Linked DNA regions of Xenopus tropicalis. The protein of the gene in region 1 interacts with the protein of each later gene in a biochemical or structural test. Links are inferred from orthologs where the notes say so. Each region holds a gene or a part of one and is shown in the gene's direction. Other genes may lie near its edges.

Region 1 (4,449 bases):
ATCCAATATGTCTCCTTTAATAGGTGATTTGTAGACTTTAGGTATAGAATACCTGTCTAGGATCCCCCAGTGAATTAAATGCTAAGTTTTTCCCCACTCTGGGGCTCCTTTTAGGAAAAATTGCACCAACCTGAGGAGACTTCTAAGTAAACACTATTCTACCATTTCACCTCTCTCCCTGTATAAAATCTGAAACTATTACTGGACTTGTCTAGTCCCAGTAAATTAGGCTTTCCTTGTGACTTGTTCATTAGCTATTCAGTATTAAAAAGGGAGATATAAGAATATAAGACACAAATGTCTTCCAGATGTTGACCTGAAATCATTTGAGTTGTAGCTTGACAAAACCTGTAGGAATGCAGGTTGCTCCTGCCTACATCACATACTCAACATCAGTCACAATGATTATCGTATATAGTCTTTCTACCTTTTATTCCACCACTAACTTCATTGCATGTAAAGAAACACATTAAACCAGCCAGTGAGGTAGATCCTAATCAATATAAAATAAATCCTTAGTTCCTTAGTGTGCCCATTTTTGATCAGTCAATCTGGTTTAAGTAGACAGGGGTACAGGTATGGGACCTGTTATCCAGAATGCGAGGGACCTGTGGTTTGGGTCTCCGTTCGTTAAGTCTGCTAAAAAATAATTGAAATATTAAATAAACCCATTATTTAGTCATGTGTTTTCAGTTCACTGTGTTTCTTCTGCACTTTTGGCAGCAAACTGTACTATGTGATGCACTGCTGTGGGCAAGGTATTGTGAGTTACACTAAGGAGAGTATATTTTAGGTTTCTGAAATGAATGTGTATGGGTCCCTTGGGGAGCTAGTGTGGTACTGATGTACCCTTGCACATCTTATTTGCTTTGATTTTCCTCATTAATTTAAACAGAGACTACTGTACCTATTTTGTAAGGAGGCATTCCATGTAATTACATATCTAATTTGTATCCTGTAACATATAAAGTACCCTAATAAACAGAGCATAGTGATGTCATTTTTTCACAACTTGCTGAAACTTGTGTATTATAAAATGTAATGTACCTCCTGTAGTATTAAGGATACTTGAAGTCACCTTAGGGCCCATGACCTGTATTATTGGCCATCAGCCTCCTGCCTTTGTATGGAACTCAGTGTCGTTGCAGGCCAGGGTGCTTTAAGCCTGACATAATCAATGCACAGCCATTGCAACAATGCAACAACTGCACCAAAGCCTATTTCATGCCCTTTCATGTTTTCAGTAGGTAATGTCGCGTTTGCCTCCCCACACTTCCCAGAAACCTGCCCTGTAGCAATAGTAAAGAAATCTGCACCCCCTTCTCCTGATGGATTAGCCCTCTCTCCTAACCCCACCCTCCTGACACATTCTGCGACCAGCCAGTGACACTGCAGCGTCGAGGAGCGTCCACGACAAGCGCCACAAGTACGAGCGCCCCGAGTACGAGCACCCCACCCACCGTCTCCCTCCTGCCTCTGCGCGCACCCGTAGCTTAAGCGAGGAGTTGGGGTGGGGAAATAAGGAGACGCAGAGACCCAAACGGGCGGTTATTATGCCACCCAGTCAGCGGTTGCCATAGCAGCGCTTGACGTCACTCTCCGACCCCTGCTCAGCGATTGGAGGAAACCCCGTGCATCGGTTAGAGCTTTGAGCGCTCGGAAGGAGACCGGACTCTGCTATCGGCAGTCAGTCACACACGGAGAAAGCGAGACGTGCGCTCGTCCAAGCCCGGGGATTCGACTACTTGCCGGCAACGGTTCGTGTTCCCTGCAGCCTATCACAGGTACAGCGCGGGAAGGAGCATTACACCTGCAGGGAGGAGGGGGTGAGGTCAAATTCGGGCGGGCCGGCCGGCCCTGATAATGGCGGAGAGGAAGCGGCTCCCTGCATTGTTCATGCCATAGATGGGGTGGGCTACATGGGGGAATCAATGCACATTATCTGCGCTGAATAATCCTATTTAATTCTCACCCCGCTCGGGTTCTGTATTTCAGCCCTTTTTTTGTTCAGGGTGATGGGGAGGTGCCTGGCTTCCTCCTCCTCCTCCTCTCGCCTTTCTCCCTAGAGCCTCCTTTACAGACCCATATATGGCTGCCACTTACATTTTCTCCTATCATCGGGGTTTTGTATCGTATTGATTGTGGGCCCCCCAGCTTCAGTGGCCCCCCCCCAGCTTCAGTGGCCCCCCCCAGCTTCAGTGCCCCCCCCCAGCTTCAGTGCCCCCCCCCCCCAGCTTCAGTGCCCCCCCCCCAGCTTCAGTGGCCCCCCCCCCAGCTTCAGTGGCCCCCCCCCCAGCTTCAGTGGCCCCCCCCAGCTTCAGTGGCCCCCCCCAGCTTCAGTGGCCCCTGGCCCGAATGTATTGATTTTATTCACAATATGAGATGGCCAGCCTGCAGCTCCTATCCCCCCTACACCCGAATGGTAGCGATCCTGGGGGTGCTGCAGCTTGGCCATCATTAATTATATTAATCAGGCTTCCTGTATTAAAAGACCCCCCATTATCTCTAACTTGGGCCCTGGAGAAATGATATGTAGGCAGTGGCCCCTTTTTCATTTAAAGGCACAGTAAATCATGACCTGAGTCTGTTCTGCACATTGCTCTTTATGTCTTTTGTGACTGGTGGGAGCTGCCCTACTGCCCTAATAAAATGAGTATCATCCAAAACCCACTATGAGATGGGGGCCCTCAACTAGTGACAATGGTGTGCTGCTGAGCCCAACAAGGCATTTTTTATGGTGGAGGAGGGCCTTTTTTTTTTTTTTCTTTTTTAAATCAATTAATGGTCATTGCAATTCCCCTTTAATACAAGCAGATGACACCGATCCATATTTAGCCCTTGAGCTGCAGGGCTCTTGCTTTGTAATATGCAATGCAAATCCCATCTGTGTGTGTGTGTGTGCGCCTGTAGCGCTGATGCGCGTACCCTCCCCCATGTTGCATCGATAGAAAGGGAAAAAAAAAGGCTGCAAGAGAAGCAAGCATTGCAGTACAGGTGAGGCTGCCTCCTCCCCCCGCTCAGTAATAAGCCTCTGGGGAGGAGGGGAGGGGTCTCTTGCCATCATCTGCTGCTGGGTCAGTGGCAGCTGGACTAGGTAGCCGAGGCTGCTACTGGCGGCTGACAGATTCTGCGTGGGCTACTGGTCTCGCTGCTTGCTGGTAGTGCTTAATACAGATATTTTGCATGCACTTCTGCAGCTGCCGCTGTTCTAAAATTCCTAGCGTTTATTGTCAGCTAAAGGCTATATTTCTGCAATAGCTGGAGGGCTGAGGCTATTGTTAATCCCTGGCAGCCCGTGCTGCCTGTCACCGTTATTGACAGGCAGTTGCCATTAAATTTAATGACAGGGTGCTTCATACCCAGCACAGAAACCACCATGTTTATGCATCTCTAAATGTTCCCTGAAAGTGTGTACATCGAAGCCCACGTTATTTTGCTTTGAAATGTTTAGTGACCCCTGAAGCTTGCAATCTAATGTTGTTACCTGCGGGCCATGCTGTTGAAATGAAAGTCAGGTTTACCTAAATCAATCTAGGGTGATGGATTCTAGGCCTCTCATAGCTTTTAGCAGGCCTTGTTGCATTGCAGGGTTAAGGCACCCACCCCATAGTCTGTAATAAAGGCACAAACTGCAGACCGTGTCTTGTTAAAATGTTACCTGGACCATGTGCGTTTATCAGGAGCATCTGGGTTTTGAATGTAAGCAGCGACACAATAGCCATTTCACTGCATAGGAATTGCGGATGATGCAGAGATTTAACGTGTCTCTTATCTTCTCATGTTAGACGTTGTACCCAGACACGCAGGAAGTACAGCTGCAACAAAAAAGCTTTATAGCTCTCCTTTCTCACCCCTCCACCTTCGTTACACTATGATACATATCAGAAAGGGAGGTGTTCTCTTGGGCAGTGTCTGCAAGCTCCTTAGTCACAAAGCCCTCAGAGGCGGCAGCAGTTTTATTGGTTGTGGTGAAACATTGCTAGTCTCTCTTACTGAGACATTATGTGAAAAGGTTCCTCGATATATTCATTGAGTATGTGAAATAATTAATTTGCTGTTTGGATCACAGTGCTTCTGTTCTAGTACAGATAGGCATCTATTTAATACTTTTAGAATGTTACATATTCTGCAAACTCCCTAGTGTTACAGTATGTCTAAAAGAATGGGTGATGCAATAGAGCAGCTTTTAACCAGTAACCTGGATCCCTTCATCTGTTAAACACATGGTGCTTTTGTAACATACGGGGGGCCCCACAGCCTGTGCATCCCCCCGGCTTTAACTCATAGAAATGCGAATGAACTGCTGTTCAGAGCTTGCTCAGCCATCACCCCTTTGCTGTTATATTGTGGTCTATGGGCAGCCTGTTCCTCGCTCAGTCTTGCATGAAAAGCTAGACAGGTAGTACAGACAGGGTGTGGCTCCATCTTTCAGACAGTTTTAAAGAGTGG
Region 2 (3,821 bases), on another chromosome or scaffold:
GAGTGCTATTTATAGCATGTGTTAAAAATCTTATCACTTCTTATTTTTCACTCGATTCACTAAAAGGACACTTGTCATAATTAAGAAGCGATGTTCTTGGCGTTATTTATCTTGCGACGACAAATTTTCAAGCAATATATTACGCAGCGCACAACATATTAGGCAGCACGTTGCTTGAAAATATGTCGTCGCAAGATAAATAACGCCAAGAACATCGCTTCTTAATTATGACAAGTGTCCTTTTAGTGAATCGAGCGAAAAATAAGAAGTGATAAGATTTTTAACACATGCTATAAATAGCACTCCTTATTTCGGACTTTAGTGAATCGGGCCCATGATTACATAGCAGAAAACTCTGTGGGATACAATGGTTTTAGTTCTTACACAGAAAGGTAAACATGGTTCAAATGTAATTCATTACTTTTTACAGAACAATTGAATAAAATCCTCTCTCATATAAACATTTATAACCATAACTAGTTTATATTTAGGTACTGGTTGAACAGATACAAATGTAAAGGAAAATATATACACATTTTTTATCTGGCTTGCATTTCTAGTCTTTTCATAAAGACCTTTCACTGTCTGTACTGTGCTTCTCTATTAATTAAATCCCTCCAAAAATAAAAATCTTTATATTCAAACAGTTACAAAATATATGATTTCAGCTACTTTACATACATTACTATAACTTTCCATTACTGGGCCTCACAAACAAATCCCTCTCATTCCAAAACCTTTCAGAATGCCAATCCAGTGAATATATAGGCAAGCTAAAACCGGCAAGCTAAGGGCCCGGGAACACAAACAGCACCAATTGCTGTAGAACTAATGCTGCCATCACAGTTTTCCAAATGAGTTGTTAAAGAAAGTTGCTTGCAATTGCACAGCCAAGTGTTTGGTCATGAATAATTTTTGAAATACATGTATGGCATTTTAATACAGATTTTTTCTTTTAAAGGTTTTATGCTGCTGAGATCTGTATTGCTTTGAATTTCCTGCATGAAAGGGGAATCATCTACAGAGATCTAAAGTTAGACAATGTTCTCCTAGATGCTGATGGTCATATCAAGCTAACAGATTATGGCATGTGTAAGGTAAGGCGCTCCATGGGCAGACATTTCTCCAACTGCATGCAGCCTTAATCACTATGAACACCATTGAACAGCACATATGCTCAGGAAGCTCAGTAGATGCAGGAAGAGGATCACCCCATGGTGCTACTCCAGAAATATCACAGGCCGGTGTAGTTTTTTTTTTTTTTTTGCTAGTGGGAGCACTGGCCTAGGGTATCAGGAAGGTGATTAAAATGATTGGAGGGGTGCCTAACATTTGCCACCCCTAAATGATTAACCCTTTCCTTCTACTTAAATTAAAACTAAATGTAATTTATTTTTCCTGAAAGGAAATTAAGGGATCGTTTTACTTTTATTTTTTTTGCATAAATGGTGCAGTAATAGTTACATGACTATCAGTGAATTTCCTTAATGGGATCTTGTTTTTGTAGATCGAGACACTACATTACATTGTTTGAATGTTGTATTGTTGGGCACAATGTTCATCTTTTGTTGTCTCTTTGTTCTTCTTTATGATTATAAAAATGGCTGCTGTAGAATGTTTTGTGTTTCTTGGGAGAAAAATATATTCAGTGCATATTAGAATATAATTTCTTTCTGTTACAGGAGGGGCTAGGACCAGGAGACACTACTAGCACTTTCTGTGGCACTCCAAATTACATTGCTCCCGAGATCCTCCGGGGAGAAGAATACGGTAAGCAACAAAATTCCAAGGTGCAAATATTTTATCTTGGTGTCTTTCACTTTCTTTATATTTAGGTAAAGGGAATCGGCAGTTCACTAAGTTCACTCTCATAAATGGCCTTGTGAGCTAATGAAAGAAAACATTATCTAAAGAATTTTGCAACAAGATTATGAGAAGTATTTGAATTTGAACAGTGCAATGTGGTCCTTCAGATTTTTTAACCTTCCTAACTAGTATTTGCCTGATTCTGGATAGATATTAGTTAGAGAGACTGTCCTGCTTTCCCCCATACACAGGCCAATAAGTTGCCAGTTTGGTGTGGAGTAGCCATGTAGGCAGTTACTGTCTGACAGATTTATACAACTAGAAACATTTTTAAAAACCAGTATACAGTAGATCCGGAATACTCAGGACCCTGGGGATTTTCCAGACAAGGGATCTTTCCATAATTAGGATCTCCATACAGTACAAGGTGCTGTTTTATTGCTACAGAGAAAAAGGAAATCATTTTAAAAATGTGAATTATTTGATTGAAATGAAGTTTATAGGAGATGGTCTTCCCGTAGTTTGGAACTTTCAGACATCATATTAATGTGTACATATAATATTTTTAAATGATAGTATCCCTTTAAAGCAAAATCTAAACTACATCAGACAACACCCCTTGTGTCAATAATTAGGTTTTCTGCTTTTATATTCAGGGAGTGTTTAACTTTTTTAATGTGATTTAAGAAATGTAGCAGTGTTCATTGATACAAATCTAAATGTGCTGTTATGTCAAAATAACCTAGTATATATTTAAGCTAAATGTACTAATTTTGTTTTAAATCAGATGAGAATTAAGCATTTAATAAGCACTGATCTGAAATATCTCATAGTGGTGAGCCACTTGTGATCGTCTTCAACAGCTTAAATTATTTAGACAGGAGTTCATCAGACAGATTTGAAAGATTTCTCATCAAAGATTATATTTTGCGTTCTTTTCGGCAGGGTTCAGTGTTGATTGGTGGGCTCTGGGGGTGCTCATGTTTGAGATGATGGCTGGAAGGTCTCCTTTTGACATAATTACAGACAATCCAGATATGAACACAGAAGATTATCTTTTCCAAGGTTTGTGAACTGTGTTGTCAGTATTTTTTTGTATGTATGTATGTTATATAGTATATGTTATATACTCTGTAATATGAATAACCAGTGCATGCTCTGTTAATTGGTTATGTGCAATACATTGCTTTCTATTGTAAATGGATGTGATGAATTTGCTGCCATGTTCTTACATTGTATAGACTAGTAATCTGTTACCTAGGTTAGTGATTTATCAGATAGGTATATTGGGCAATAGGTTAAAGATGTTGGATGGGTTAGTTATTGGACTAACCGTAAATTCTTAAAACTAAGGATGAATATTACAGGGGACTGCCTTTTCCCCACTTGCAGTTTAGTCCAGAAGGAAGCTTCATGCCAGTGGACAGATCTGTGTTCTGTCAGAAGGGAATCATCACTCACAAACAGGGCTGGATCCTCTCAGTAGCACTCTCTAGATGCATTCAAGACCCAGACAGCACCAGCATGGCTTGTAGCACAGGAGCTGTTTATTGCTATGTTGTCTTGGCTCTGTCTGTCATGTTCAAATCTAAAAAAAAAAAAAAAAAAAAAAAAAAAGTAATCAAAGAAGAGACAAGGCAATGAGCAGAAAGTATAGGGAGAATACATTTAAAGAAGCTCAAATTGATAGCAAAGCATGGATTTAGCTGATGTTTGTTACCTACATCACAATTGTCTATTTCTCAGGGGCTAGATGTAGAATATGTAATGTATTTTGTTAATTTAAACTCCGCAATTACTATGATGGTTTTTACAGAACAGATTTTGGACCCAACTAAACATCTATTTTTCTATCTAATACCCAGTTATTCTTGAAAAGCCAATTCGGATTCCAAGGTTCCTCTCTGTGAAAGCTTCCCATGTCTTAAAAGGATTTTTAAACAAGGTATGTATTGGTTTGGATTCAAAAGCCATCTAAGGGCAATTACAAAACTATATATTTATTTAAAATGTGA

What was found.
Region 2: the proteins of ywhaz (region 1) and prkcz form a complex in vitro, tested with the Homo sapiens proteins (2 studies listed by BioGRID, with this or other methods). The link is inferred for Xenopus tropicalis from reciprocal best matches to the Homo sapiens genes YWHAZ and PRKCZ.

What each region holds. Positions count from the first base shown.
Region 1 is NC_030682.2:130,830,554-130,835,002, reverse strand, and holds the start of ywhaz (14-3-3 protein zeta), read left to right. Parts: upstream 1-1,411; 5' UTR 1,412-1,784; intron 1,785-4,449.
Region 2 is NC_030683.2:91,413,601-91,417,421, reverse strand, and holds part of prkcz (protein kinase C zeta type), read left to right. Parts: intron 1-961; coding exon 962-1,097; intron 1,098-1,682; coding exon 1,683-1,770; intron 1,771-2,751; coding exon 2,752-2,871; intron 2,872-3,671; coding exon 3,672-3,751; intron 3,752-3,821. UniProt on the Homo sapiens protein: Calcium- and diacylglycerol-independent serine/threonine-protein kinase that functions in phosphatidylinositol 3-kinase (PI3K) pathway and mitogen-activated protein (MAP) kinase cascade, and is involved in NF-kappa-B activation, mitogenic signaling, cell proliferation, cell polarity, inflammatory response and maintenance of long-term potentiation (LTP).